Caenorhabditis elegans: one gene and its partners. The protein of the gene in region 4 purifies or fractionates together with the protein of the main gene of each other region. This does not show direct contact. Each region holds a gene or a part of one and is shown on either strand. Other genes may lie near its edges.

Region 1 (8,431 bases), on a different chromosome or scaffold from region 4:
TTTCAAACTTAAGATTAGAATTAAATACGGTGTAGTAGAAATTGTTATTGCTTTATTACATTTAACATTGTCTGAAAACACTGAATTTCATAATAAAACTTCTCGAAAACTTCTTTTAAAAAAGTTATGACAGCTCAAAAAATTGCCTAAAATTAGTTAAAATTTTAAATTTGGCCGACTTGTCTTGGTTTAAAAAATTAACAATCTCGTCGTCCATCGACTTTAATATATCTTAATCGAGTTGAAAACGTAAGGTAATCAAATTGTATACTCAAAATTTGACGGTGATTTTAAAAAAATTGCTTCCAACGACATTGGCAAGTAGGTCACATTTCAAATTTTAACTAATTTTAGGCAATTTTTTGAGCCGTCATAAGTACTTTTTGAGAAGTTTTCAAGAAGTTTCATTATGAAATTCGGTGTTTTCAAACAATTTTAAGTCTAATAAAGAAATGGAAAAAATTCGACTACACCATCTTTAAGAAAGTAGCTCCCGCAAGAAGTTCCTATGAAAAATGTTATATCTAGTTGTCTGAGTTTTCCAACCATTTACATAATACCACCCACATTTTCGAATTTTCTAAAAAATCAAGTGTTCAATCTAAAAGAACATTGCTTTAGAACATGTTAAAACCACTAAAATACAACCATCTTTCAGGAACCGGAATGTTCATTGCTTTCTACGGCCAAGAATGGTACGCGAGACGTGGACACTGTGCCCCGTACTCCAATGCCGTTGTGGACCTTTTGTTCCCGAGACATTGGAATTGTCACCCACCAACTTCATGAAATCTCTAATTATTTGTCACACGGGGTATTCGTTTTTTTTTTTTGTATTTTGTTGATTTTATTTGAGAATTATTTTTTAAACTGTACAAAAGTTTTGTCACTAGTTTTTACAGAAAAAATAAATATTAGTTACTTGATAGAAGTTGGTTCATTGTAAAATATGCTTATTTGTACCAAAAATCTTTTGATCGGTCTGCTAGATAAATGCACACAATTTTTATGGCAGGAATAGCATATTTTAAACTATCGATTTTAGCAAAACAATTCTGAAATCAATCACATTTTTTCTCTATTTCTTGGCTATCACCCCAATATTAGATGTTTTGTAGATTTATCGTGGATATTTGTGATACACCTCTGACGGAAACGTATTTATTATACAAATTATTTATTCATATAAAATGTTTTCATAAAATATCTACAAGCATTTTCAATCAATTACAATAAAGCAGAAAAAAAAACATTGGGATCTGAACACGTAGGAGCACTAGTTATGGCGTGTGAAATGTTATTCTTTAAAAAAAAGTAGTATCAAAATATGATCTCCTACAACTTGGACATTTCTTTTGTAGCCTTATTAATAACCGATTTCATGTCAATTAGCGCCTTTTGAAGTTCCTTGGCAAACTTCTTGGAACTCGTCGAGCCGTAGCTCTTGAATGTTGAGATCATAAAGTGAAGTTCAGTTTCCTGTGGGTTGTAGCAAATTCCATAGCAATCAAGGGCAGATGGTCCGAAGCACATTTGGATGAAATGCCGTGTGGGAACTTGACTTGTGGAGACTTGGAAATGGTTGAGTTGTTGGTAGATGTTGGAACCGAAGATTTCTGGGGTTGGGAGATTATTTTCAGTAGCGATCAACTTCCATGCCAATAAATGTCTGTCCATTCCAGCTGCATCCATACAATCCATGGTGTACTTTTTATGCGAATTTGTTGCGTGAACAAGTGCATCGTAGATTTCACTAACCGGCGTAGGAGGCTTAGATACCATCTGAAAATTGAGTGAGTTAAATTGGGTGATCGATCTAGGTCACACACAAACACACACCTTCTTGACAAATGATGCTGCAGCTGTATTCGGAGATCGGATGTTCTCGGTTCGACCCTCGGTGAATTTACGCAAAGTGGCCGTCTCGTAGGTTGGTGGAACTGGAAATTTAATTCGTCATCAAATTGTAAGATGGGGGATAATTGACTTACGCGATGAGTGGATCCGGTAGAAAGCTAATTGGTAAGCCATTTGGATGAACGAGTCGGGCGAGATCTTTGAGGATTTCGGGAAATTCTTTCCGTAGGGCTTGAACGTGAACGCGACGATATCAAGGTCCTCGGCGATGCTGTCCATGTTCTTGGAGCTCTTGGCGATTCTTTTGTTGATTTCCTCGTCAGTGGAAATATCGAGACGTTGCACTGGGGAGTTGGAAGGTGTGCCTTCAGTAATGAATGTGTTAGCATCACTGAAAAATTGAAGGAAATATAATAGATATATTATCTTAAATGTTACTAACTGAAGATATCCAAGCTACCAGAATACTTTTTGCAACATTTTAAATAAACTTGTTTGATGAAGCGTAGGATCAGAAATATTTATATTGCTATGGTTAAAGGTGGAGTAGCGCCAGTGGGAATTTGGTCTGAATACACTTATTATGATCCAACACGACAGAATATCATAATAAAACACTCCAAACATTTTTCGATTTTTCATAATTTCCGGCCGAAGTTTTGGCAAACTGCCAATATTTTGAAAAACGACACATGCAATGTTTTAAGACAAATTATTTAAACAGAACTACAGTATAAAAAAATGTAGGAAAAATTTTTTTTTTGGTCGACTTCCAAAATTATATGTGGAAAAACTGAGTAACTGTCACTGTTTGACAGTAAATAAAAAAATTTTAAAAAACTTTTGAAAGGATTTATTATGATATTCGGTCATTTTGGCACCATGTGTAGGAGTAGTTTTTCACAAGTTCCCCACTGGCGCTACTCCACCTAAAGTGCCACAGTTCCGGTTTTTGACCCAACGATAAAACGAAAAAGACAACATTTTAAATTTCTGTTCAAATTCAAGTTTTTCAACAAATTTTTTTGTAATCAGTTATAAATTTCAAAAACTCACAATTGATCACAAATAAAATCCATGAGTGCACCGACTGGTGGTCCTTCGGCTGGAGTGTGCTCATACGTCATTCCGGTGTAGCCATTTGTTCCGATGACAAACTGAAATTTCCAGGTATATTTTTTGCTATTGCAATGCAAATGTGCTCTACTGATCAAATGCAAAAAAATGAGTGCATGAACGATAAACACGTGGTGTAAGAGTGTCTCATGTCGGCTTGATCTACAAAGATCTACAAAAAATGCGGGAGAAGAGACGCAGAGTTCTCAACTGATTTCGTCTGGTTAAGAACGTGTTGACGTATAATTTTTATGGGCAAAAAATTCCCGCATTTTTTGTAGATCAAACCGTAATGGGACAGCCTGACACGCCGTGGATAAACTAAATAACACACCTGAATAGTCTTGTCAAACCATCTGTTGCTCGAGTTCACTTTGGAGCCGCCACCATGCAGTGCCTGCCTACTTTGCTCATCTTTCTCCGTGTAGCCAACTGGTGGTTCACTAGCTTTGTCAAGACAGACTACGAACAACGATTTTTCGACGGCTTCCAGGGATTTCGCGTTGTTGTTATCCTCTGAAAATAGTATTATTATCAGCATAGCTAGCTTCAAAGAAAATCTTCACAATGGAGCTAAGCAAAACTTCTACATTTGGCTTGAAACTTTTTTTCTCGAAAGCTCACTTTTCAGCGATGAGTATACATTTGCCCATTTGTCGCGACTATCGGAGGAGACAATTCCCACTGGATGTGGGTTTGGAGTTTGACTCTCTGAAACGACTTTTGCCAGTTGCTGAGTAATAGCAAAAATTGAGAGTGGCTGCTCGTTGGAGTCTAGGACTTGGACGCGGAAGAGCTGAAAATGTAGGGAGATTTTAACGGTTTTGTTGAAATCTGTTTGCAATATTTTTTTCAACTTCAATTAGATGGAACAACTGAAGTCTTATGGGGTTATTCAAGAAGTGTCGAAAAATTAAAAAGTGTAGAAAAATTAGGTGCAAACTATATTAAAATACATTTTTTGAAAACTTGTATTTTAATACAGTTGTGACGTAATAAATGTATTTAAATACATTTTGCAACATTAATTGAATAACCTCATTAGTCTTTATAAAGAATCAGTGATACAATTTTTAAATAACATTTTTTAAAAACTCACATGTCCATTTCTAATCACTAAAATGTGTTGCAATTTCTCCTTATAGTCACATCCATATCTAATCTCATCTACGCCAACCTTAGGTACCCTAGTTGTTCCAAACAAGAACTGGTACTGGCTCATATCAAGCGGCGACTTTCCTGCCATATCAGGCTTCAACTGATTACTGAAAAAATGTTTTTTGAAAACTAAAAAACATCGAATTGAACCAGAAGCCTACTTTTTTGCTCGAAGGTAAAAGTGGACAGCGGCTTGGCTGATTTTTGCTGCATATTCCAGTTGTCCCTCCTCGGTGTTATAGTCAAATTTAGGGAACATGACTCCTGGAGATGTGACGACTGGAAGTGGGGTACGAGCAGCTAGGTAGGCGATGTTGAGCCACCATGGTGTGAGCTGAAAATCTTTTGTTTGAATCGGTAAAAAAACGCCAACTTGCTCAATTTTAAGATAGTTAGTTTTTAGATATATTATAAAACCATGTGTTAAATTTGGAAATCTATTTTTATGGCGCTGGCCCTGTCACTTTTTCAGCAACATTTTGATTTCATTTTGATGTTTTCAATTTATAGGCTGGCGGATTATTTTGTGGACCAATTTCCAAGAAATTGTTTGTTTTGCAAAGAAAAAATTATTTAATATAAACGCCCAACATTATGCCTAATACCTGATAGGTATTACTTATGCCGTTAAATATTTTCAAAATATTGTAAAGTTTTCTAGTATCAAACTTTTTAAAATTAGGTTTAGGGTACACTTAAAGGTGTCATTGGTTTGCAGTAAAGCTAAACCTATAAAGTTAATTGATACATTTCTATTTTTTTGGTCCAAACTGAAAATTAACTACTCCTAATCATAAATGGGGAAGTTGTTTTGAATTTATTTTTCTAATTATTTTTTTTAGAAAAAAGTGTTAAAAATCTTACCCAATTCGGAAGTGCGTCGGCTCGTTTCTGCAGCAGTTCTTGCAATTTCGGCAAATCCTTAACCACAAAATCATTTACAATCTGAAATTGACATTTGTTTTGCTCCAAATGTTTTTTTTTATTTTTACCTGTTTTGTCTCTTGAAATTCCTTTTTTGACTGCAACGCTTGTGCAAAGTCCAGGAAGTGTTTCAGCGTTTTAATTGGTTGTGGAGCCGGGAGTTTTGGTAGGTCTGAAACGTCATCAATGTATTTACAATCGAAAAAAAGGTTTAGTCTCACCTGTTGAATTATAACGGGCTGCACCGTGACCTCCGGCCATTGCGTTGACACTGTGCTTCATTAGTTGCTGCAAAATGAATTTTGAATGCTCAAAATTTTGAGGGAACAGGTAATCCCTCACAAAACGCTGCGAAAAGTTACTATAGTGATAAGTGAAAGACGTTTTGTGGGGGAAGACCCGGGTGGGGGAATGTTATCAATGATCATTCAGACTACACTACGCCGTAGTCCAAATTTTATATGGTCATTTTGGTCAGCATTTAATATTTTTGGGGAGAAACTCACGGAGATCTGTGGTCGAATCATTGTTTGACATTTCAGCATTTTTTCGACGGGTTTTGTTACTCAAATTGATGAATATAATGTAAGCTTGTATGAAAGAAAGAGAATGTAAAAGGGAATGCACCATGTTGGTTCAATGCAATTTTTTTTTAATTTAGCGTAAATAATAGAAGAGTGATCTGTTAACCAAAAAAATTTGTTGTATGTTAATTGAAAATTGTTTTGAAAAATTTTCAAAAAATAAATGAAGTCTCACAAAAAAATTCGTTTTTTTTTTGGCATCTGGCAATTTTATAACAACTTTTTGCATTTTCTCACATGTTTAAATTTAAATAATTTTTTTTTAATATTTTGGAACTAAATTTTAGTTAAAGAATAGCGCCTGTGGGGATTTGATCTACATACACTTGTCAAAAACAACCGAATATCATAATAGAACACTCAAAAAAATTTAAAAATTTAAAATTTTTCATAATTTCAAATTGCCAAAACTTTAAAAAATATGAGCAATGTCATATGTTCCAACCCTTACAATGTTTTAATACGATCAATTAAAACAAAATTAAAGTAAAAAAAATATAAGAAAACATTTTTTTTGGTCGACTTTTAAAATTATGAGTGGCAAAACTGAGTAATTGTCACTTTTTGACAGTAAATAAAAAAATTTCAAAATTTTTTTTGAAAAGTTTTATTTTTTTTATTCGGTCATTTTTAGCACTATGTGAGTAGTTTTCAAAAATATCTATACTATATCTTTATTTTTCTTTGGAAAATTTAAAACTTAAAAAACATTTTTAAAAAGTAACAAAACAAAAAAAATAATTTGTTGATTTTCAGAGTGTAAAAGTGTTCCAAATGTTTGGGGCGTAAGATCAAAGTGTTTAGAAAACGAGTGACGGCGGGTGAATGGCAGGGGTCATATGGGAAGAGAGGAGTGTGTGTGTGTGTGTGTGTGTGTGGTGATGTAGGGGGCACAAACAGAAAGACCAGGCGGAACGCAGAAAACACAGGCAGCGAAAACAGAAGAAACCGAGTAGTTGTGTTGTGTCCAAAGAGTGGGGGGGGGGGGGGGAGGAAATGGAGGCAAGTTAAGTTCTCTCCTACCACACAAAAACCCCGCGTGGTATCCACAAAGAGGCCGAGAAATGGAGGAAGAAAACAACGATGTGTAGCCAAATGGTGTGAGTTAATGAGAAGAGGTCATTGGATTTGGATGGCAGCCAGTAATTGGATTGTGTAGTGAAAGTGTTAATTTTTCTGTTTGACATTTTTTAAGACACAACTTATGGAAATTACAAGTTGAACCAAACGTTTTAATATTATTTCAGAAAACTAATGGAGTTTCATTATTAAAACTTTTTTTTTCAATTTCTGATGAAACAAATTTTAAAAAAATCGCCTAAGCATAAATATTTGCAATTTGCTTCTCAAATTCATAATTAGCGGAAATATAATGTTATTCGAATGTTTCCCCATCATTGTTTTTATTCCAAATAAAAAATTTTAGCAACATTTTGTCTTTGGAGTATTTTTTTTTTAAATTGAATACTTTTTGAAAGCAACTTGGATCCCCGAAAATTTGGAAATCTATCAATTGCAACTTTTTTTCTTTTTTTAAACACTTTTCTAATAGTTTTTTTTAGGAATTCGGCTATAACTTATATAAAAAACTAAACTTGGGCAAAAGTTGGGCAAGACTTTTTGGCAAAACTTGGATTTAGGTGACATCAAAATTTAACCCAAATTTCACCCAGCTCTTGCCAAACTTCTACAGAAGATTGAAACGAAACACAAAAAGTTTGGGCCAAAGTTTAGCAAGAGTTGGGAGAAACTTGGGTTAAACTTTGATGGCCCGAATCCCAGTATTGCCAAAGTCTTGGTCATCTTTTGCCCAAGTTTATCAAACTTCGGATCAAAGTTAATGTTTTTTGGGCCAAACTTGGACATGAATCTCGAGCCAAATGCCGAGTTTATTGAACAAGGATTAATAATTAATTTAATTTCAAAAGTTTGTCGAAGCTTTCCACTAAGAACAATTAACAATTTTTCTATATTTTTACACCAGAAAAAAATCTACATCTCAACGCAAACCTTTTCATATTTCCCGATTAAAGCATTCACATGGAAATTTATGGAAAAAAACGGAAGCCTGACATACATACATCTTGGAGCACCGAAAAGCCCAAAAATTGGGGGACGCCGGGTTCCATTCGTTTTGTGACGGACAAAAAAAAGAAGAGCGGAGAGACAAAATGAATGCAATTTTTCGCCTTGCAAGGTTTCATTCTAAGAGAACGTTTCATCTTTTCCTTCTATTTGAAGTCGTTTGGAGAAGTAATTAAAAGTGCAACAATTGAAGATATCAGCAAGATAAGATACTGGGCTAAAACAATATGTAAACAACTAGATTCTAAAAACGTGTTGTTTGATTGAAACGAAAAAATAAAGCAGCAGCTAAAAATCCAAAGTGGGCAAGCAAAAAGGGCAAAGTCACATAATATCAACTACTTGATAATAAGTCTACAAAGTAGCCTGCTACAAATGGTCATCAACACTATAGAGATAACAGAGAGGAGAACAACAAACAAAACGTGGGCATAGGAGCAAGTGAGTGTGCATTGATACTTAAAATCGCGGAGAAAAAAGGAAAAAATAGAGCTTTGAAATTTTAATAAATATTAATATATCAAGGGAAAAGTAATGAAGGGGAGAAACCATATTCAGTTTTAAACCTGTGAATTGTCGGTTGCTTTTTTTTTTGTTAATCAATTTGTCTATTTTTTAAACGTCTCATCTCTCATTATTTTCGTACACATATCAATTAAAATGATACCAAAATCAGCATATAAAAAGCGGAGTGAACGCGGAGTACC
Region 2 (7,142 bases), on a different chromosome or scaffold from region 4:
GGAGGATTGCAAAATGAAATCGTTTTCAAATGACAAAATGATCAAACTTTGGAAATGACGGAGCAAAGATAAAAAGTTTGAAGTTCAAATAAGGACTTTTTGGCTTTCCCGGAAGCTTAGCAAACTTTGCAAGTCATATATTTTAAAGGATGACGAGTTGAGCTATCAGGTATTCTAACGTGGTTCAATATTTTTTCCTTGAAAGTTGAACGTCACAAGAATTTTTGCAAGAATGGCAATATAGAATGGGAAGGTGGTGTGATTAACTGAAAAAATAGTTGAATAATGATACTTCTTTACGTTACTTACTAATTTTTTATAACCATATGAATAGACTATATACTTAAAATAGACCTAACGTAGACCTAAGATCTTAGACCTGAAACAATAACGATAATAATATACTCAAAGTGTTGAAAAAGAGGGAGCTGTAACTGTACTTTAAGAAAGTGTGTGACGTCACAGCGCAAAACATTGTGGTTTCAGACATACCTTACAGAACATAATTTTAGTTCCTGCTCGAAGAAGAATATTTTTATTTTTACGATCATCTTATTTTAAAACAAAAAAGTAATGCGCGTTTAAAATCCTTTAAAACCTACAAAAATAGGAGAACTACAGTACTATGGCGGCAAACTATTTGTCAAGCTTTTGCTAAAACGTATAACTAGGTAAGAAATAGTTTATTGCAAATGTTTTCACAGTTTAGGATTTGAAGTTTTACAAATTTCTATTTCCAAATCAAATAAACAATTATAGACAATTCTGTTAAATTTGGTCCTTGTAACGACCATTTCGACGGCGATCGTGGCGAGACCCACTGAGAAAAGCAGTTTGCGCCTTTATTGAGACGTTTAACTTTTTACGAAATTACAATATTAGGAAAGTATTCAGAACTGACTCTTACATTTGTTTTCAGTTTTCTGAAAATAAGTTTCCAAATCTAGTTTTATTTAAAATGAAATCCAACAAAAAACCTATAATAACTGCTCCTCGAGGATCAAGAAACATTTCATGAATGTAAATAATAGTTTTTTCTCTCAAAAAACGAAAAACCAAAGAACTTCATATATTTTGATTCTATAGTGTTGCTTTTCAATCCTTAATCCAATCATCTTAACCTTCTGCTTTTTTGTCACACAAATCATATTTCATCGCATGCAGTCTAGGAAACCAAACATTTCTTTTTTCGAACAAAAAAAACGAGAAAAGGAAGAAATCCGTCTCAAAAGTTCCAAAAAAAAAAGAATCACAAAAGTTCCGACAGAAGCATCATCATCTTCATCATTTCGTGTGTCTCATAGCTTCTCTGAGTGCTCTTCTGAGCCAAAAAAGCCAAACCGAAACAAAGTCATCAATCGTTTTGAAGTCGAAATGAGCAAAAACGGAAAAAGAACCCAAAAAAAGACAAAAGAGACGATGAACAGCTTCCAATGACGAGACAGGGAGGAAACGAGTAGTAGTTTATTTGAAAAAAAGAGCAATGAGCAAAAAAACCAAGAATCAAGCTAATCTCGCTAAGAACCGGGGGCCCATCTGACGAGAGGAGCTCTACGCATAGTTCAATGTTTCTATTCCGGCTCATTGAGCACACGAAAAGAGAATCGAAAGGGCGCATTTGAAATCTGCTCGATTGACGGTTCACTAAACATTACCCACGTACACCTTCAGTCGAGACCCACTTTTGTTGCACCATGATGTTGCTGAGAGAGTATTTAGGAAAAAAACTACTAGAGCATGAGAAGAGGAAAACTTCCGAAGTTTCGGATGTAAACCTAACACGGTTCCACATTTTTCAGCTCCTGCAATTCAAATCGCTCGAGGACTCAGATTGTCAGTTTATTGACCATTAAAACTTTAGAAAAAATGAGTAACCGCGAGCAAAATAGGGTTATCAGTATAACAGATTAAAGTGAAAAAGTGAGCAATTTGGGAATGTACAAACATGATCAACGGGTGAAAGAAAAAATGATTATCCGGAGCACATGAGGCATCCTTCATCTTGCGACTCGGCCACGGTGGCTGGCGTCTCAGCTTGTTGGTTAGTTTTCAGCGCATTCTTATCCACAGTGAATTGAACTGCATTGACAGCTGGCTTGGTACGCAAATAGTACATTCCAGTCTTGAGTCCCTTCTTCCATCCGTAGAAATGCATTGATGTGATACCGGCGTAGCTTGGCTTGGCCATGTGAATGTTAAGAGATTGGGATTGATCAATGTATGCTCCACGATCAGCAGCCATCTCAATAATGTCTTTTTGAGAGATCTCCCACACTGTGCGATAAAGTTCCTTGATGTCGGATGGAATTCCATCAATGTTTTGAATGGATCCATTGTTGGCAATCAGACGATTCTTCATCTCATCAGTCCACAATCCTCTTTCCACCAAATCCTTGAGCATGTGAGGATTCACAATCTGGAAATCTCCAGAAAGAACACGGCGAGAGTAGATGTTCGAAGTGTATGGCTCGATGGATTCATTGTTTCCGAGAATTTGAGCAGTGGAAGCAGTTGGCATTGGAGCCATCAGAAGACTGTTGCGGATACCATGCCTGTAAATAAGTAGTTTAATCAGATTCGAAAGAGTATTTTAATCTTACTTTGCAATTTTCTTGCGAAGAGTGGCCCAATCGCATTGATCGGTTGGAGTGACTCCCCACATATCAAATTGAAGCTGTCCTTTCGATACTGGAGATCCTTCGTATGTCGAGTATGGTCCATTCAACTCAGCCAATTCACAACTGGCTTCCAATGCAGCGTAGTAGATGGTTTCGAAGATTCGTTTGTTGAGATCTCTGGCTTCTGCCGAAGTGAATGGGTAACGCATCAACATGAAGCAATCAGCGAGTCCTTGGACACCAAGCCCGATTGGGCGATGGCGCATATTAGAGTTGCGAGCCTCCTCGACTGGATAGTAGTTGACGTCAATAATCTTATTCAAATTTCTGGTTATAACTTTAGTCACCTCAGCCAGTTTGACGAAGTCGAACTTTTTCTCGGGGGTCACGTAGCGATTGAGAGCAATGGAAGCAAGGTTGCAAACTGCAATCTCATCTGGAGCAGAGTACTCTATGATTTCAGTGCACAAGTTGGAACACTTGATAGTTCCAAGATTTTGCTGGTTAGACTTGCGATTGGCGGCATCTTTGTAGGTGATGTATGGAAGCCCGGTCTCGATTTGGTTGGAAACGATGTGCTCCCAGAGCTTGCGGGCCTTCACCGTTTTGCGGACTCGTCCCTCGGCTTCGTATCTGGAAATTTTGATATGAACTTTGCAAATTTAACTTCACTGTTTAAAAGTTTTTGTTAGTTGATTTTTGTCCGGAGCACACCTTTTTTTTTGAGTATATTCCGGTTATCGATCAACTATTTCATATTCGAAGTTAGTAAACTCAGTCCAAGCAGTACTCTTAAAGTTCTGTCTGGATATCGCACTTCGGTAATTAAAAAAATAAGAACCAGGAGATACTTACTTGGCGTAAAGAGCTTCGAACTCCTCTCCCCAGCAATCATCAAGTCCTGGACATTCACATGGGCACATCAACGACCATTCTTGATCCTTCTCGACTCGCTTCATAAAGAGATCTGGAATCCAAAGAGCAAGGAACAGGTCTCTGGCACGTTCCTCTTCCGGTCCAGTGTTCTTGCGGAGAGATACAAACTCGAAGATATCGGCGTGCCATGGCTCCAGGTAAATAGCAAATGCTCCTGGGCGTTTGTTTCCTCCTTGATCAACATAACGAGCAGTATTATTGTAGACACGAAGCATTGGTATGAGTCCGTTAGATGTTCCATTAGTTCCAGCGATCACAGATCCAGTGGCGCGAATTTTGTGAACATTGAGTCCGATTCCTCCGGCACTTTTTGAAATAAGAGCACACTGCTTCAATGTATCGTAGATTCCGAGAATGGAGTCTTCACTCATTGTCAGAAGGAAGCATGAAGACATCTGAGGACGGCATGTTCCCGAATTGAAGAGAGTTGGGGACGCATGGGTCATGTAACGCTCCGACATCAGATTATAGGTCTCGATTGCGGAAGTAATATCATCTCCATGGATTCCAATAGAAACACGCATCAACATCTGCTGTGGGCGCTCGACAATCTCCTTGTTTATCTTGAGAAGGTAGGAACGCTCCAGTGTTTTGAATCCGAAATAGGTGTAGGAATAGTCACGATCGTAGACGATGGCGGAATTCAGCTTCTGAAATGAAATTTTTTTGAATAAATGCAATTCCTAGGAAAACTAACATCAGCATTCTTCTCAATGATAGCCCAAGTCTCATCACTGATCATTGGTGCGTGTTTTCCGGTATGAGGATGATGGAACTCGTGAAGGGTTTTCATAACTTCCGAGAACACCTTATTCGTTTTCTTGTGCAAGTTCGAAACGGCGATTCGAGCGGCAAGAAGAGCATATTCCGGATGTTGTGTGGTCATGGAAGCAGCAGTCTCTGCAGCAAGATTATCCAACTCAACAGTTGTCACTCCTTTGTACAAGCCACTGATAACTTTGATTGCAACAGCGACCTGGAAAATTTAATTCATCATTGAACTTGTGTTTAATAACAAACCGGATCGACAAAATCCATGTTCAATCCATAGCTCAGCTTCTGAATTCTGGAAGTGATCTTGTCGAAGTGTACATCTTCCTTTCGCCCATCCCGCTTGACAACATAAGTGCTGTTGTAACGTTGCATAACTGGAAAAGATGAATTATTAACAATTTGAGAAGAAAAGAGTGAAAATGGAGGAGCGGAGAGAATTTTCAAATGACCAGTTCATCTCAAATTTACTAGTTTTCGCGCCTAGGTAATAGAGGAACGCGCGAAAACGAGACGCAGACCAAACAAACGCGCTCCATCGGAATTCAAATTCAAAAGGAAAACGAATTATTGAAATCTTGGTCTCATAGAAAAAACAAGTATTACAGTGAAACAGAATACATTATATTTTCCTACGAATTCTGGCTTCAATATGGTTTTCTGATAGAAGTGAGCTAATGTCGAAACACACAAAATTGGCCTAGAAATTCAAACCGAAAATCCACGGTCCTGAGCATTTCTAACTACGGCAGTTTGAAATGAAATATTAATTCACAGCTGAAGAATTTCATTTAAACAAAAAATGTGTTTAGTTTTCTGTGTGAGGAAAAAATCTATTTATACCCTTCGGCACCACAAGCACCGCCTCTAACCATGGCTCCGCCCTTTAGGACAAGTCCGATAATCGCATTTCATTGCTCTGAAATTTAAAAAAAAACGTAAAATTCAAAATAAAACCACATAAAAATGCATAAGATCAGAAGAAACCCCGAAAATAAAAGCTGTAAAACACAATTTTGCCGCGGGTTACTGTAATGGTCTCGACACGAAATATTGTATTTAAAAACTTTATGCGTGCGCCTTTGAAAGAGTACGGTAATTTTTTAAAGAAAAAAACATGTTTCGATGAAATAATATTTATATTCAGTTTTTCCTTAAATTTTCAAACTGCGGACAAAAAAGCGTAGTTTTTTATTTTCTGATGTTTTGTCAGAGATCACTAAAATTTGCTGTCGGTCAATTCAGACAATAAAAAACCACCAGCTGTGATTGCGAATTTTCGAAAATTCGAAAAACGCGTATCTGTTGGCATGCAAGACATGACATAAATAATTTATTTTGACACAGATATATTCAAATGGTTAGTGACGAGATGTTCCATCTCTTGACTGCATTAATCCTCCAGTTATGAGCACTTCCACGCTATGGCTCTCCTCATCCGCATTTTTGTTGACAACATTGTATACCGCCTGAAAATAGATAAATGAATTTTAATTTTATAATTCTATAGATATTCTACTAATTTTCAAGAAAGTTACTCACACTAAGATCAACTGCCTCTGCAGCAGCATCACAGATTTTCCTCACAGTCGGATCATCAGTCATTTTCTTATCAAAAAGTACCGATGCACCATTCCAACCAACATGTGCAATATGTCTGAAAATAAACTTTTGTAAGTAATTAATAGATAAAAGATATCCAAATCTCACGTAAAGTTCCTTGGAAGACTAATCGAATCTGCAGACGTTTTAATTTTTTTGGAATTTCTGCCAGTTGGAGGTTTTCTCATCGGAATTTGTACAGTATCCTTCGGCTGCATCAATGACGGAAGTGGTGGTGGTGGAGGTGGAGGTGGTTTCGAAAGAAGAAGATTACGTGGGACAATCGGAACATTTTCTTTTTGGGTCAAGATTTGGTTCGGTATTGGAGTTGATGGAAGTTCAGGTGGGCAAGTACAAAATGTTCGCAGCTTATGTTCTATCATGTTTCGAAGTGGTCCAATTTTGAAAAATCTATAATGATTTATACTTTTTGCAATATTCTGATTTGTTCCGAACTTACACCGCTTCACGTAAGATTCGCATAAGCTGATATTCGTCTTTTGGCAATGAACATTTCTCATGATCTCTTAGAAAGTTGAGAATAACCGGAAATACTGAAGAATCACGGTCGATGAAGAGTCTACCATCCTGAAATAAGCATTCAAATTTTCCCAATCTACCGTAACCCCCATTCTTGCCTACGTCACAAATTGACGTCACAGGCACCCAACAACCAGTTGGTCATTGCTTTTGAACAGTGCGCTACGTCACACCAGGAGGAGGTCAAGGGAATGGTGTTAGTGGTTGTGGTGTCGGGTGAAAAGTATGGCAACGGGTGGTGGTGGAAAATTATTTGAATGATTCAATGGGCCTGCAGATGTTTGATGACGTAGACATATACGCAGAGTATTTAACACAAGGCATTGGGAATCTTGGGGAAGGTTAGTTGACCAAATGAGGTTTTATTCTATTTAATGGAGTGTTAATATATTTTATAACTGATGTGTTCAGAGCAGTTTATGCGGTTTTTAATTCTAAAAATACGGTACCTGGTCTCGACAAGCGTAAAGGTCTCGACAATACGAAACGAATGTGCGCCTTTAAAGAGTAATGTAATAAAATTACAGTACTTTTTGAAGACGCACACCCTTTTCAATTAAAAAAAATTGCCGCTCCGAGACAAAGTACCGTACTGTTAGCGCAAAATTTAGCATTATGATATTTTTATTGACAGTATATGCTTATTACCCATTCTTGAATTTTTGCGATTTTTGA
Region 3 (6,988 bases), on a different chromosome or scaffold from region 4:
GTTGCGTGTCGCGTCGCGGCTCGATTGTAAAACTAAATGCATTTGTCCGTGTGAAGTACACGCCTTTCCGTGATTTTCACGGGGTTCTGGTCTTCCTTATTGCATTTTCCGCGCTCCATTGACAATCGCCTGCCGGACTCCACACGGACAAATACATTTAGTTTTACAATCGAGCCGCGACGCGACACGCAACGCGCGCCGTAAATCTACCCCAGATATGGCCTGGCCTAGTTCGGCAAAAACTCTTCCATTTCAAGTCATGGGAAGCCAGAAATCCGTGAAAAAAATTTTTAGTAGAAAAACGGGAAATTTTCAAATTATTCTAGAAAAATACCAAATTTTTTTTTGTGTACTTTGCTAAAATTTTCCGCCGAAATTTTGGTAAATTGCCAAATATTCTGGTAAATTAATAAAAAAATTTAAATTTTCCGCCAAAAATCCAATTTTCATAAAATTGGGAACTTTGTTTGATAAATTCCCAAATTTTTAATAAATCACATTTTTTTCTGGTATATTTTAATTAAAAAAAAAAAAAATTTTATAGAAAATTGGCAAATTTCCGGCAAATTGGCAAATTTTACCCCAGAAAATTGGTAAATTGGGCAAGTTTTTGGAATCGCCAAAATTTTGGAAACTGTCAAATTTTAATGTATATTTTCAATTTTTTCTGCAATATTTTTTTTTTTTGGAAAACCTCCAAACTTTCAGTAAATTGCCCAAATTTTGGTATTTTTCCAAACTTTTTTTTCAAAAATTATTTTTTTTTGCAAATTTCCCAATTTCTCTACCATTTTGCCCCAGTAAATCTCTGAATCGATTCCTTAAATGCAACGTCTGTAGTCTTGTAAAAGCGGATCCAATTCGAAGATCCAATTCACTTCGACAATCAACTGCGGCAACGGTCTTCTCGTCGAGTCGGATGAGATTCCGAGCTGCTCGTGTGATGGCTGCTTTTGTGATTTCGGAGAATCTATAATAAAATTTGGGAATTTTATATTTTGCGCGTCAAATATGTTGTGTAGTACGCATTCTCAGAGTTTTGTGTTACCTCGCTCTGAAAATATCCAGCCGCCGGTTGCTATCTCTGCAAACTTTAACAATTTCAGCGCCAATTGCTTCACCTTCTCGATCGCAATCTGTCCAGACTACCAGGATATCGTGTCGTTGGGCTTGTTCTCTGAAAAGTTCCAAAAATTTCTATAAAGAACCTATATGCTTGCCTGCCTACACGCCTACATCATGCCCATCTACATCGATACCTTAAGCTTACTATTCGTTTGCCAGAACGCCCACGGTATGCTTGCCTACCTCCGCGTCTACACGCCTACTCTATGCTTGCCTGCCTACGCACTTATCTCATACCTACCTACGCGCCTACTCAATGCTTGCCTACCTAGCCACCTACTTCATGTCTACCTACAAAAATACCTTAAGCTTCCTATACGTTCGCCTTTAAGCCCACCGTATGCTTGCCTGCCTACGCGCCTTCCTCATGCCTACCTACGCGCCTGCGCGCCTACTCAATGTTTGCCTGCCTAGATGCCTACCTACATGTATACCTTCAGGTATACCTTAAGCTTCCTATAAGTTTGCCTGCACGCCTACTATATGCTTGCCTGCCTAGACGCCTACATCATGCCTACCTACGCGCCTACACCATGCCTACCTACGCACCTACACGCCTACTCTATGCCTGCCTGCCTAGACGCCTATCTACATGTATAAATTTTCGCCTACACGCCTACTTCATGCCTACCTACGCACCTACACGCCTAATCTATGACTGCCTACGCGCCTACTCCACGCTTGCCTACACGCCTACTTCATGCCTACCTACGCGCCTACACGCCTACTCCACGCTTGCCTGCCTAGACGCCTACATCATGCCCACCTACATCAATACCTTAATCTTAGTATACGTTCGCCTATACGCCCACCGTATGCTTGCCTACCTACGCGCCTACTCGCCTACTCCACGCTTACCTGCCTACACGCCTACCTCCTGCCTACCTACGCGCCTTTTCGCCAACCTACAAGTAATAGATACATTTCTCATGCCTACCTACCTGCCTACAAGCTCACCTTATGGCTACCTACGCGCCTACGCGCCAACAAAAGACTGCCTACTTTATGCCTGCCTTCCCCCCCCCCCCCGTAAAATTTAACCTTAATGTCTGCTCGATGAGCTTCATCTCTGGTGTGACAACATGCCGAACCGGAGCTCGAAACAACTCGACCATCGACGCCGTTTGCCAATTCGACATATTCTCGTGAAATTGGAAATTCATCATATGTCCCGAAACACTTGTCACCGAAATTGCGGTTTGCTGCAAAAATAGGATTTTTCTTGCTTAGAAATACTCAAACTAGTCTCGAATTCCGTATAAATCACAAAAAAACCGAAAAAAAATAGCGAAAAATTGAAAAATCCAACTTTTTGAACCTGCGACCAATCAGCGCGATTCGCTCCGCCCACTTTCCAACCAATCAGATGGAGTGGGCGGGGTTTGGTGGATTTTTCTTTATATAAGACTATTTTTGGATATTTCAAACACCTCCTAACCCCGCCCACTACCCCTGATTGGTTGAAAAGTGGGCGGAGCGAATCGCTGATTGGTCGCGGTTTTTATTTTCCGAAAATTGATAAAAATAGTGATTTTTTTGCTTAGAAATACTCAAAATAGTCTTAAATTCCGTATAAATCACAAAAAAACCGAAAAAAATAGCGAAAAATTGAAAAATCCAACTTTTTGAACCTGCGACCAATCAGCGCGATTCGCTCCGCCCACTTTCCAACCAATCAGATGGAGTGGGCGGGGTTTGGTGGATTTTTCTTTATATAAGACTATTTTTGGATATTTCAAACACCTCCTAACCCCGCCCACTACCCCTGATTGGTTGAAAAGTGGGCGGAGCGAATCGCTGATTGGTCGCGGTTTTTATTTTCCGAAAATTGATAAAAATAGTGATTTTTTGCTTAGAAATACTCAAACTAGTCTCGAATTCCGTATAAATCACAAAAAAACCGAAAAAAAATAGCGAAAAATTTAAAAATCCAACTTTTTGAACCTGCGACCAATCAGCGCGATTCGCTCCGCCCACTTTCCAACCAATCAGATGGAGTGGGCGGGGTTTGGTGGATTTTTCTTTATATAAGACTATTTTTGGATATTTCAAACACCTCCTAACCCCGCCCACTACCCCTGATTGGTTGAAAAGTGGGCGGAGCGAATCGCTGATTGGTCGCGGTTTTTATTTTCCGAAAATTGATAAAAATAGTGATTTTTTGCTTAGAAATACTCAAACTAGTCTCGAATTCCGTATAAATCACAAAAAAACCGAAAAAAAATAGCGAAAAATTTAAAAATCCAACTTTTTGAACCTGCGACCAATCAGCGCGATTCGCTCCGCCCACTTTCCAACCAACCAGATGGAGTGGGCGGCGTTTGGTGAATTAAGACTATTATTTTGGGTATTTCAAACACCTCCTAACCCCGCCCACTTCACCTGATTGGTTGAAAAGTGGGCGGAGCAAATCGCTGATTGGTCGCAGTTCTTATTTACCGAAAATTGATTAAATAGTGATTTTTTGCGGATTTTAGACTATTTTGGGTATTTCAGAGCCAAATGACTGCTGGTACCTGTCCAAAAAGCTCGGTATTCAACGTGTAAATCTTGTTAAACTTGCTCCGCCCCTCTCGTCGATTCGCTGTTCCATTTGATAAAATCGCAGCGACTCCCTTTGCCACGTCATTCTTCTCGGCCACAAATAAGGCTCTTTTCATTGGGAATTTGAGCTTAAAATTATGTTTTTTTTTCAGTTTTAAAAAATGAGAGAGAGCGTTGAGAGCGTTCACAAAAAGTTAAAAAAATTTTTTTTTTTCAACATTTCAAAAAAAAAATTTTTTATTGAAAATTTGAGATTTTTTCCAAAAATGTTTTATTAAGTATTTCGACATTACAAAACACTTTCAGAAAAAAACTTTTTTTTTTCTGAAAGTATTAATTAATTTTTTAAAACGTTTTGTGCTCATTTGCAAATGATATTTTGTGTATTTCCCCTATTTGTAAAAATGCTCTTCCAAAAAAATTTAAAAAAATTTTTTTTTGAAAAATAATCAAAAAAATTTCAAAATTTTTTGAGAAAATTTAAAATATTTTTAATTTTGTTGGATTTGTTAATATGGTTATTTTTAGGTTTGGAAGTGGTTTAAATTTTAGGAAAAAAATTAACTTTTGAACAACAAAAAATATTAAAAAAAAAAACATTTCGAAAAAAATTCAAAAAAAAATTCCAATAAAAAAATTATTTTTTTTTAAAATTTCTAATGATTGTATAATAATTTCTTCAAAATTTGATTCGAAAAAAATCACAATTTTTTCTCCTAAAAAATTTCAAAAAAAAAATTTTTTTCCAAAAATCTTTTTAAAAAATCAAATAAATCTGGTGTAAAGACCTGAAACAAAAACTTGCAAAACATATAAAAATTATTTTTCATAAAAATTGAAATTTATTCACAATTGCGGTAAAAAAAGCAGAGAATTATCATTAAAAAATGACATTTGTATGAGGTGATTACGGTGAAATGATATTACATGTACGAGAGGGGTGGGGGTTTTCAGGGAAAAATGTGAACAATTCGAAAAAAAAAAATAGAATGTGATTACTTTTGCATGTCGGCTCAAGTAGGTCGATTGCACCATGTTTTTTCCAATATTTTTCTTCATTGGTTTAGTCGAAATTGCCTGAAAACACCGAATTTCAGAATGAAACTTCTTGGAAAATTCTCAAAAAAAAAAGTTATGGCGGCTCAAAAATGACTTAGTTGAAATTTGAAATTTGAGCGGCTGGAAACTAACTTTTTTGAAATCACCGTCTAATTTTGGGAAACATTTTGGAAATTTAACTTTAAATTTGGCAATTTACCAAATACTTGAAAGTTTTTCAAAAAAATTGGCAATTGAGCAAAAAAAAAACATTGACTGAAAAGTTATGCAATTTTCTAAAAATTGGTATATTTTCAATTGTTTTTGCCAATTTTTCAAAAAAAAAACATTGACTGAAAAATTGGGCATTTTATCAAAAAATTGGCATATTTTCAATTTTTGTGGCAATTTTTCAACAAAAAAAAACTGGCGATATTCCAAAAAATGTGGCAAATTACCACAAAATTTGGCTATTCACTTGATTCTTTGACTTGGAAATTTTCGAAATTTACCAAAACTTCTACTAAAAATTTTGCGAATTGATAACCATTTAAATGTACCTAAATCGAGTTGAAAACGCAAGATAATTAACTTGTATAGCCAAAATTAGACGGTGATTTTTCAAAAAAGTTAGTTTCCAAGACGGTCAAATTTCAAATTTTAACTAATTTAGGGTCATTTTTTGAACCGTCATAACTTTTTTTTTGAGAAGTTTTCAAAAAGTTTCACTATGAAATTCGTTGTTTTCAGACAGTTTCGAGTCTAATAACAAAGTATGGAAAATCATGTGAATAATCTGAAAATAATAATGATTTCAGAAAAAATATTTTTTAAAAAATCAAATGGTGCAATGTGACATTTTTCATTCATAAACTTCTTCTTCTTCATCATCTTCGTCTCCAATTGGAGCTTCCTCTATAATCTCTTCCTCTTCTTCTACATAAGGCTCATTTGAAGTGGATGCGGCGGCAGCCGATATATAAGTATGATCTTCTCGAAGTTGCCGTCGGCGTGTCGCCGCGACGGATACTCGAACGGATTTCTCGTTTACAGTGTACTTCATTGTTGTCGGTATCGATTCGACTTGGTCTTCGGGGTGATATCGAGGAATTGTTCTGAAAAAAATGGTTTTTCGAAAAAAAATTTATAAACCTTTATAGGCCAATTTTGATTTTTTTAGGCCAATTTTTTTATTCAGGCCAATTTGGAATTTTTCAGGTCTATTTTGATTTCTTTAAGGCTAATATTGATTTTAAAGCCAATTTTGATTTTATAGGTCAATTTAATTTTTTTAGGCCAATTTTGTTTTTTAAGGCCAATTTGAAATTTTAAAGCCAATTTTGATTTTTCTGGCCAACTTGCGATTTTTAAGCCAATTTTGATTTTTTTAGGCCAATTTTTTTATTTAGGCCAATTTGGAATTTTTCAGGCCACTGAGGTTTTTAGACCAATTTTGAAATTTTTAAAGCCAATTTTTTTATTTAGGCCAATTTGGAATTTTTCAGGCCACTGAGGTTTTTAGACCAATTTTGAAATTTTTAAAGCCAATTTAGATATTTTTAGGCCAATTTCGATGTTATAGGCCAATTTTGTTTTTTAAGGCCAATTTGAAATTTTAAAGCCAATTTGGATTTTTTAAGGCCAATTTGGAATTTTTAAGGCCAATTTAGATTTTTGGGCCAATTTTAATTTTTTAGGCCAATTTGGAATTTTTAAGCGAAATTTGATTTTATAGGCCAACTGGATTTTATTGGCCAATTTAGTTTTTTAAAGGATAATTTGAAATTTTTAAGCCAATTTGAATTTTTTTTTAGTCAATTTTGATTTTATAGGCCAATTTTAGATTTTTTGGTTTAATTTTGTATTTTTCAAGCCTATTTTAAATTTTTGAGGCAAATTTGGAATTTTTAAGCCAATTTATATTTTTTTAAAGCCAATTTTTCATTATTTTAAGCTGATTTTTATTTGTTGTGCCAATTAGGATTTTTTAAGTCAATTATTATTTTTTAGGCCAATTTAAATTTTTTCAGGACGATTTTTATTTTTAGGCCAATATTTATTTTTTAGGAAAATTTATATTTTTTTAGGCCAATTTCGATTTTTCTGGCCAACTTGCGATTTTTAGGCCAATATAAATTTTTTCAGGACGATTTTTATTTTTTAGGCCAATTTTCATTTTTTTAAGGCTAATTTCGATTTTTTTTGGCCAATAAGGGTTTTAAAGCTAATTTTTGATCATCAAAATGAATTTTTTGAACATTTTTAAAGTTAAATTCTGATC
Region 4 (7,669 bases):
AGGCGCCGACGATGTCTCCCTTTCTACTTTAAATTTTAAAGAAAATGATAAAATCATTGTGATGGGTGGAAAAAATGCTTTGGTTGATGACGCGGGCTTCAAAATGCTCATGCAATATGAGAAGCATAATTTGAGCAATCTTCAAAAAGCCTATGATCTCAATTTGAGAGATGTCGCTGATTTGGAACGTGGTTTTCTCGAAAAACCAAAGCAGGTCGAGATGGGGAAAAAGCTGGAAAAGAAAGTGAAATATTTCAACGAAGAGGCGGAAAGACATCTGGAAACTCTTGATGGGATGAATATTATCACTGAAACTACTCCCGAAAATCAGGTGTGTCATAATTTTATTTTGTACTTTGAATAAGTTTTCGATTCAGTTCAATCAACTTTCAGGCTAAGCGAAACCGTGAAAAACGCAAGACGCTCGTAAACGGAATCCAAACTCTTCTTAATCAAAATGACGCACTTCTTCGGAGACTCCAGGAATATCAGTCAGTTCTCAACGGAGACATTCCTGAATAATTCTCAATTGCATAAAATTGCTTCGGGTTTTTATGTTATGAAACTCAGTTATAAATCAATAAATTATATTCTTATGCTATGTATCAAAGGGAGGAAAAGGGGCAAAACAACTGACGGGACCCATTAAAATGAGAAGGCTGCTAATTACAAAAAAAAGAGCAATGGTGTGAAAAAATTAATAACGAGTTCTTTTATCATTGAAAAATGATTTGAGCAGGAAAACTTGGCCAATTCCAATGAATACTACGACGGCAGATTGACCAAGGGACCAGATCATCACGCGCTCGTTGAGTTCTTCTGCACGTTTGCGACCAGTTGCTTCACGGAGACGATGATGAGTTTGATAGTCATCAATCTACAAAAAAGTTTATAAGTATGTCAAATGTCGGGTGAACAACTTTTTTAGTAAGCTCCCAGCAAAATAGAGTTGGAAAAATGAACGAATTCATAAAATTCGAAAAAGTTACGTTTTGAGCATTTTCTAATTGTAAAAATAAATCTTTTTAAATAAAAATCTTACTGTTCTCAATTTATCTCCAATAGCGACTGCATAATTTTCTAATTGAGTCATTGCATGAGCTCCTTGAGTAACGGCAGCATGAAGAGCATTTTGATCACCGAATTGCCAATCCATGTAAACGATTTTATGAGAGAATGTGGAGAATTCATTTGAAAAGCATGCTTTGTATGTTCCTTCAACTTCGGCCTTGAAGTTGATACTGTCGTACTGCTTTTTAGTATCTTTATACAAAACTTTTCCATTTGGATCCTCAATGATCAAGTCTACGTCATAATGGCCTCCAGTAACAACCTGAAATTATCAAATTATTACAGTTTCTACGATTTTCAATTGAAATACTAACTTGGAATTCAAACACTGTGTCAACATCCTTTTTCAGATCTTCATAAAAACACTGATTTGCGTTGTCTGGAAGTTCGAATGTCAATTCGATTGACAGACCTAGGGCCACAAGAATTGATGAAACTATGACAAATTTGAGCATGATCTTGGCTGAAAAGTTGAAATATTTTTACAAATTTATTCGAATTGGATAAGAAGCAATACAAAATTATAATTATTCTATTAATAGAGAGAAAACGTGAAAAGGAGAGAAATTCGACGCATGGAAAATGCCAACAGAACACTAGTTCAAAGGGGCGCACTTGCAGCGCACAATATTTATATTTAATTATACAATAAATATATTATAAATAGAACATAAAATAGAACACATTAGAACATTGCACATTTTGTGCTCAATTGTAAGAGAAGGCTAAATTCATTATTTTGTATTAAATATTAATATCAATAAAATATTCACAAATTGACAGAATAACTTCAACGTAATAAAAGAAATTGGTGTAAAATGCAACATTTTTATTTATTTTCAATAGATAAATTAGCTAAAAACTAAAATTCATCAAAAGAATCATTAGAACTGCTTTCCTCAGATAGATTCAGTTTACTATTAGCTGGTACAAGAAGTGCTCCTCCTTTCCCGCGACCTATTCCTCTGGCACGAGTTACACGTTTCACAGCTGTTTTGCTCTTCTTGATTTGTTTATCAACTTTCTTTTCTTTTGACATTTCATTGTTTTTCATAGTTCCCGCTACACGTTGTCCAATTTTGTCCAGCGCCTCGACAATTTTTTTCGACCATTTTAGTTCGAGAGAACTATCCAATTTCTGTGCGAAAAATCGGTCTAATCGCATTTGGCTTTGTCCACCGGATTTTAGAAAATTATTCCATTTTTCGAAAGCGTCAAATGAATTCTGCTCTTCGTTGTGCTGTTTGCGATCAGGCCATTGAAGGCGTTGATGAAGAATTCGACGGATCAATGGAATATTCATCTGGCGCCATCGAAGTTTTTCTGATGATGAATCAACGATGGGATGAAGGTAGGCATGCACAGCGTCTTGATTAGAGCACACCTGAAATTGAATTGAACTATTAGGAATTTAAGAGAAACATGAGTTTCAGTATGTTGTTTTGTTTTCAAAAATCTAAAAATAAGTACACATTTGATATTCTCCATATCGTTTGCTTCAGTTACATGTCTTCTCAACATCATTGCATTTCGACTAGCAACTCGTTTATCATCCGGAGCAGTTAAGAACAAACTTTCCACGTTTTTAAGGAGCCTCATGATCTGAAACTTTTCATAAGGGACTCCATCACATGTGTAATTATCTTACCCTGTTCTCAATGACTTTAAGATCATTTGTATTATCAATCCTACATTCAACATACTCGGACACCAGTTCAAGTGCACCAATGGCTCCAACTTTTACAAGTCCTGCACAATAATCACCCCCAGAGAGCAGAGCAATTGAAATGTAGTCCTCACGTTGGAGACCTAGATTTTTAGAATTCAGGAAATATTCTAATGTTTGCCATAAATCTTACAAAAAAGTTTGCAATTATCTCTATTCGCTGTTGTCTGCTCTCCATATCGTTGTACTCTCCGATTCTTAGAAAACATATGACGATATACATGTTGTGCTCCAAACGCCCACACATCACTATCATCACTAACGACACCATCAACTAATCCAAGTCTCTCCAGCTCAACACATTGAGCTTCCGCTTCACCAGGCGATTCGATCCACGGAATGCCTGCATTTGTAAGAAATTCTTGAAGATCACGATATAATTCAGGCGTCTTATCATCCTCATCACTATAGTTCAAATGAATATAATCTTCCATGAGAGCAGGAGCAGAAGATGTTGATGGCTTATCGTATCGTTGAGGATCCCATTCAATCTCCTCATCTTCACTTGGAACCTTGTGTTTCTCCAAGCTAGCCATTCTCTTATCCAATGATTTTGCAGCTGTTTCAAGTAGAACTTCTTGAAGAACCATCTCATCGTCGCTGACTTCTAAAAAAATAATAAAACAAGTTTTGTTTATATTTTAAATGTTTTACCAATCATATCATCTTCTATTCTCTGTTCCTTTTTTCTTTTTTCTTCCTCTTTCTTATCTTCTACAGTTTCAGTACCATAATGTTGTCGAATTCTTTTTCTCGCAATTGCTTCCAACATTCCCGATTTACTCTGATATCCTCTTTCTTTCTTGTCAATTAAACGTTCCTCTAATCTGTCAACAATCTCTTCTCGTACATCATCAGGTGTCACTTCTCTGCTTAATTTCTTTCCACCATATTCTACATTGAAAAAGTCAAGTGTCATTGATAAAGGTTCTTGATAAAGACTATCGATATCTCGTTTTAATTCTGGGCGAACTTCTTGAATCTCATCACTATGTGCATATTTTAAAATGTGAGAAGTTCCATCTGGTCCAGTTACGTTGATTTTATCAGAAGAGTATCCACCTGTGGAGGTTGTTGTAGACTTGGCTAACTGAAATTATAGAATGTGGATTTAAAGCGATTTTTCACTAAAAACTTTTCGGAAACCGTAAATATCCGCTTCAAGAACTACAGTAACCCACTTTTAAAAAATGTTTTTTTCTAAAGTTTTAATGTGTTTCAGAGTTTTTTTCTTCATAAATAAAAAAACTTCTTAAAAATGTGGAAAAATCAAAGAAAATTGAACGGATTATGACTTCAGTTTATACATTTTTATAAGTAGCAAATTATGTAATTCAATAAAGTTACTTGTTCAATTTCTGCATTCAGACGACCTCTTCTGAGTAGACGCTGCATTTGAAAATTGCTGAAACTTTTCGAATCTTGTGGAATCTGAAAATCGTTTTAGCTTATTGTAAAAACACTTTTTTAAAAGATAAAATCCAACCATATCAGGCCGTAATCTGCTATTTCTCATGATCTCTCTTTTTTCCACGAGACTTTGAATTTCCAGTTTCCGAGAAGTAAATTGTTTCGAAATTCGTTCTTCTTTTACAGTAGGTACAATAATAATATCACTATCATCTGAATCTGAATCTTCAATATTTCCATAAACAAGCTGATCATTTTGATGTGCAGAAGGTTTATCCAAATATGTGCTTGTTGAGGGAATATCCTTATAAATGTCGTTCAGAATTACTTTTTTCGATGGACTTATAACTTCTTTGATTGCATTCGCAAGTGCCACGTCATCAAGACCACCACTGGCAATTTCCTGAAAATTGATTGGTTTAACAAAAGAATTTGGAAATAATTTAAAACTTTTTAAACAGTTAAAAACTTCAAAAAAATTGATGCGAGAATATAGAGCCGGGTCTTGAAACGAATCGATATATTTTAATGAAGATCGTGAAGAGTGTGCTCATTTTTTTGCTCTTTTAAAAAACAAAAAAAATCTAGTTTGTCTTTTAACAACCAAAAATTTAATTGCAAAAAATAGGAAACGGGAGCTACAGTACTACTTAAAGGCGCATAACCATTTTCGGAGTATTTTTCAAAGAAAATTTTCGGTTGTTTCGAGACCGTGCGCCGTATTCTTGCTTCATGAACAGAGCTTTTTCGTTGTTTTTCGTCATGTTTTTGATGGAAAAATTTTGTTATTTTTTCGCTGTCTGAAAAATTCATGAAGTTCTAAATAAATTAATTTTACCCTAATTTTTTGAGATTTTTTCAGCACCTTTAATTTTCCCATTTTCTTCGAATTCTTAAGAATATCATCATCATTCTGTCTTTTTTGCCGTCTCGCTTCTAAGACTTGACGTTTGAGAGGTGGTACTTGTGGTCCATCAAACACGAAAACAGGACGAATTTTGTAGAATAAAAGTTTAGAGAGACGATTTACAAGGAGACGCAGATGTGGAAACGGTTGATCCGATGGATATGCGAGTTGAGCCTGATAGATCCAAATTGAAACATCTGAAAAAATGATAAAAATTACAAAACATGTAATGTCAGAATAAAAGTGAAAAGTACAGTACCCCAATACATGAAAACTTAAATATACGAAATAAAACAATTTTACATAGTTTTGAATTTGTTTTTTAGCTTACCAATTGCCAATTTTTTTCCTTCTAAACATTCCAAAGGAATCTCTGTTGCCGTTGGTTCTACAATTTTCCATAATCCAGTGATTCCCATATCTTGAATTAATTTCTATAATTGGGAAATTTGATGATAAATCAAATATATTACATTAGAATTGCGTGACATAAAAACCAATATATACTGGTATAAGGAACTGGTATAAGTAAAAATTTTATGAACTAAAAAAGGTTTTTTGAAAATAAGGAAAAAAAGAACCCGAAAGAAAACAATCGTTATAATCTGAAAATGGGGGGTTGGACCGGATGAGAAAAAGCAAAATGTGAGTTTGATATTTAAAACAAAAAAATTAAGGCAATCGCTATGGCAATGTTTTTGATTCTTTAGTTAAAAAAGATCTAAATGAGGGAACTGGACTATACACAACAGAAAATAATAAAATCAGGTGCAAATTCTACAGGAATCTATGAGAAAATATACAAAATAAAAACTACAAATGTGATATTCGAAAGGGAAAAACTGAATTTGGAAGCTGTAGAGCTGGATGCAAATTGATCTCCGTATTTGTCCAATAAATCCAAAATAACGCCATTTGTCCAACCAAAGCCAGTCTGGAAATGATTTTTTTTTCCAATTTTTTCTGTTAATTTACATTATTTTCTCAGTGGGATTTTGCTTGAAAATATCCAGAATAGTTCAAAATTTAGGAATACGAAAAGAAAAAAAGAAGAATCATCTAACTTTTGAAAAAAACAAACAAAAATTCAGTCAAAATTGAGAAATCGCTTTTTGAAAAAAAACTTTTCAATTTTTCTGATTATTTTTTTTTCCATTTGTGGAATTTCGGAATTACATCTTTAAATACTCACTTGAACTTCATATTCTCCTCCACCTCCTCCAGAAGTTTCTTCAGTATGTGGAGTAACATTATACTTTTCAAACATAGCATGAGTTCTGATAAATGACTGATATGTTCCAGTAAGCCATGACGTTGCCATCTTTTCAGCAACTTTCATCAGTTTTATGTCACCAGTTGTACGGAATCCTTCGATAACCATATGAATCATTGGAGGCCATGCGTTTTCCTTATCCCATTGCTGCGTACTACTCATTGCAAGAGATGTTGGAAGACCTTTTGTGTATTTCAATAGTCCTTGGCGCTGAAAATTCCCAATATATACGTTTTTTTTAGAGTGACACTAACCTCTAAATAATCATGAACACGATGTGGAATATCATCATCATCATCATAACATTTTGCATACAAAGGAACAGCATTTGATACATAATATTGATTTGAATGAGTTTTCAATTCGATATCATAATCATACCAAATACCATCTGTTTCATTCCAATGTAATTCACGCATTTCCCGTTTTGCCCAAGTGTATCGTTGTTCAAATACTTTCACTTTTTTGAAATCACCAGCAATTTCATAAAGACTCGCCAGAATTCGAGCATTTGCACACATGAAAGCGTTTAAATCGGCTGGGATAATGCTCCACGTTCTGAATTTGATTTAGAATTAAAACCTCGGAACTGTAATTTTTGAATTTGTAAAGACAGCATGTCACAGAAATTCTCTGTTTTCTTTTTCGATTAATCCAGAAAACCAAAAAATCGGAAAAAAAAGTATAGAAAATTAACAAAAAAAGATTTTTTTTTAACCAAAAAACCAACACCCTCGATACCTTATAGAATCCATTCGATGCATTGTATCTCCATTTTGAGAAAACCATCGAGTGGAGAAATCCCATCCCGTCTCGGCAGCCGACGCTATCTCACTCCACATTTGAATTTTCTCCGCTTCAGTTTGCAGATGCTCTGCTAATTCCGAATCCTCACGATATGATTCTGGTCTCGGTACTTTGAGTTTAGCCTTATATTGATAATATGGAAACTGCTTGACACCATCTTTGTCTTTGAACCATTCCTGTCGATTTTTAATCCAAAACTCGTATTCTTTGTCAAGGGTTGGAAGAATTTCCATTACAAAATCCAAATCTCCTGTGCTCATGTAATATTCGTAGACCATCGGTGTCAATAGAGGTGGTTGGGAACGTGTTAGATAATAGACACGACCTCCATTTGGTACGAAACCGTGACTGAAATTAATCTTTATTATCAAATTGGAGAACTTTATTCTAGTGGCCAATTCAGTAGATCATTTTACCACTGAAAGAATAAACATTCGAACAGTTATCTATCCTCCTTTTTTGCACCAAAAAAACT

What was found.
Region 1: the proteins of xpg-1 (region 4) and B0395.3 fractionate together in Caenorhabditis elegans (co-fractionation; one large-scale study listed by BioGRID). This does not show direct contact.
Region 2: the proteins of xpg-1 (region 4) and rnr-1 fractionate together in Caenorhabditis elegans (co-fractionation; one large-scale study listed by BioGRID). This does not show direct contact.
Region 3: the proteins of xpg-1 (region 4) and top-3A fractionate together in Caenorhabditis elegans (co-fractionation; one large-scale study listed by BioGRID). This does not show direct contact.

What each region holds. Positions count from the first base shown.
Region 1 is NC_003284.9:16,033,889-16,042,319, forward strand, and holds B0395.3 (Choline/carnitine acyltransferase domain-containing protein), read right to left. Parts: upstream 5,344-8,431; 5' UTR 5,338-5,343; coding exon 5,277-5,337; intron 5,228-5,276; coding exon 5,124-5,227; intron 5,077-5,123; coding exon 4,996-5,076; intron 4,466-4,995; coding exon 4,293-4,465; intron 4,239-4,292; coding exon 4,073-4,238; intron 3,770-4,072; coding exon 3,598-3,769; intron 3,490-3,597; coding exon 3,308-3,489; intron 3,015-3,307; coding exon 2,914-3,014; intron 2,249-2,913; coding exon 1,992-2,248; intron 1,941-1,991; coding exon 1,840-1,940; intron 1,783-1,839; coding exon 1,336-1,782; 3' UTR 1,148-1,335; downstream 1-1,147. Other genes in the region: mboa-1 (O-acyltransferase), read left to right, coding at 659-789.
Region 2 is NC_003281.10:9,223,549-9,230,690, forward strand, and holds rnr-1 (Ribonucleoside-diphosphate reductase large subunit), read right to left. Parts: upstream 4,703-7,142; 5' UTR 4,701-4,702; coding exon 4,575-4,700; intron 4,531-4,574; coding exon 4,252-4,530; intron 4,205-4,251; coding exon 3,474-4,204; intron 3,427-3,473; exon of another isoform or gene 3,302-3,426; intron 3,252-3,301; coding exon 2,601-3,251; intron 2,553-2,600; coding exon 1,973-2,552; 3' UTR 1,827-1,972; downstream 1-1,826. Other genes in the region: T23G5.3 (uncharacterized protein), read right to left, coding at 5,687-5,794, 5,868-5,982, 6,036-6,338, 6,388-6,515. UniProt on the Caenorhabditis elegans protein: Provides the precursors necessary for DNA synthesis. Catalyzes the biosynthesis of deoxyribonucleotides from the corresponding ribonucleotides.
Region 3 is NC_003281.10:11,956,384-11,963,371, forward strand, and holds the start of top-3A (DNA topoisomerase 3), read right to left. Parts: upstream 3,798-6,988; 5' UTR 3,786-3,797; coding exon 3,642-3,785; intron 2,328-3,641; coding exon 2,167-2,327; intron 1,178-2,166; coding exon 1,049-1,177; intron 971-1,048; coding exon 789-970; intron 1-788. Other genes in the region: Y56A3A.28 (C2H2-type domain-containing protein), read right to left, coding at 5,570-5,822. UniProt on the Caenorhabditis elegans protein: Component of the BTR double Holliday Junction dissolution complex, which is involved in homologous recombination during meiotic double strand break in the germline.
Region 4 is NC_003279.8:6,556,564-6,564,232, reverse strand, and holds xpg-1 (XPG (Xeroderma Pigmentosum group G) DNA repair gene homolog), read right to left. Parts: upstream 5,540-7,669; 5' UTR 5,534-5,539; coding exon 5,446-5,533; intron 5,312-5,445; coding exon 5,073-5,311; intron 4,611-5,072; coding exon 4,284-4,610; intron 4,229-4,283; coding exon 4,145-4,228; intron 3,888-4,144; coding exon 3,452-3,887; intron 3,405-3,451; coding exon 2,931-3,404; intron 2,881-2,930; coding exon 2,720-2,880; intron 2,674-2,719; coding exon 2,542-2,673; intron 2,456-2,541; coding exon 1,934-2,455; 3' UTR 1,887-1,933; downstream 1-1,886. Other genes in the region: bag-1 (BAG family molecular chaperone regulator 1), read left to right, coding at 1-331, 394-522; tmed-3 (GOLD domain-containing protein), read right to left, coding at 698-877, 1,043-1,333, 1,386-1,526; tre-1 (Trehalase), read right to left, coding at 5,902-6,048, 6,307-6,597, 6,642-6,945, 7,129-7,542.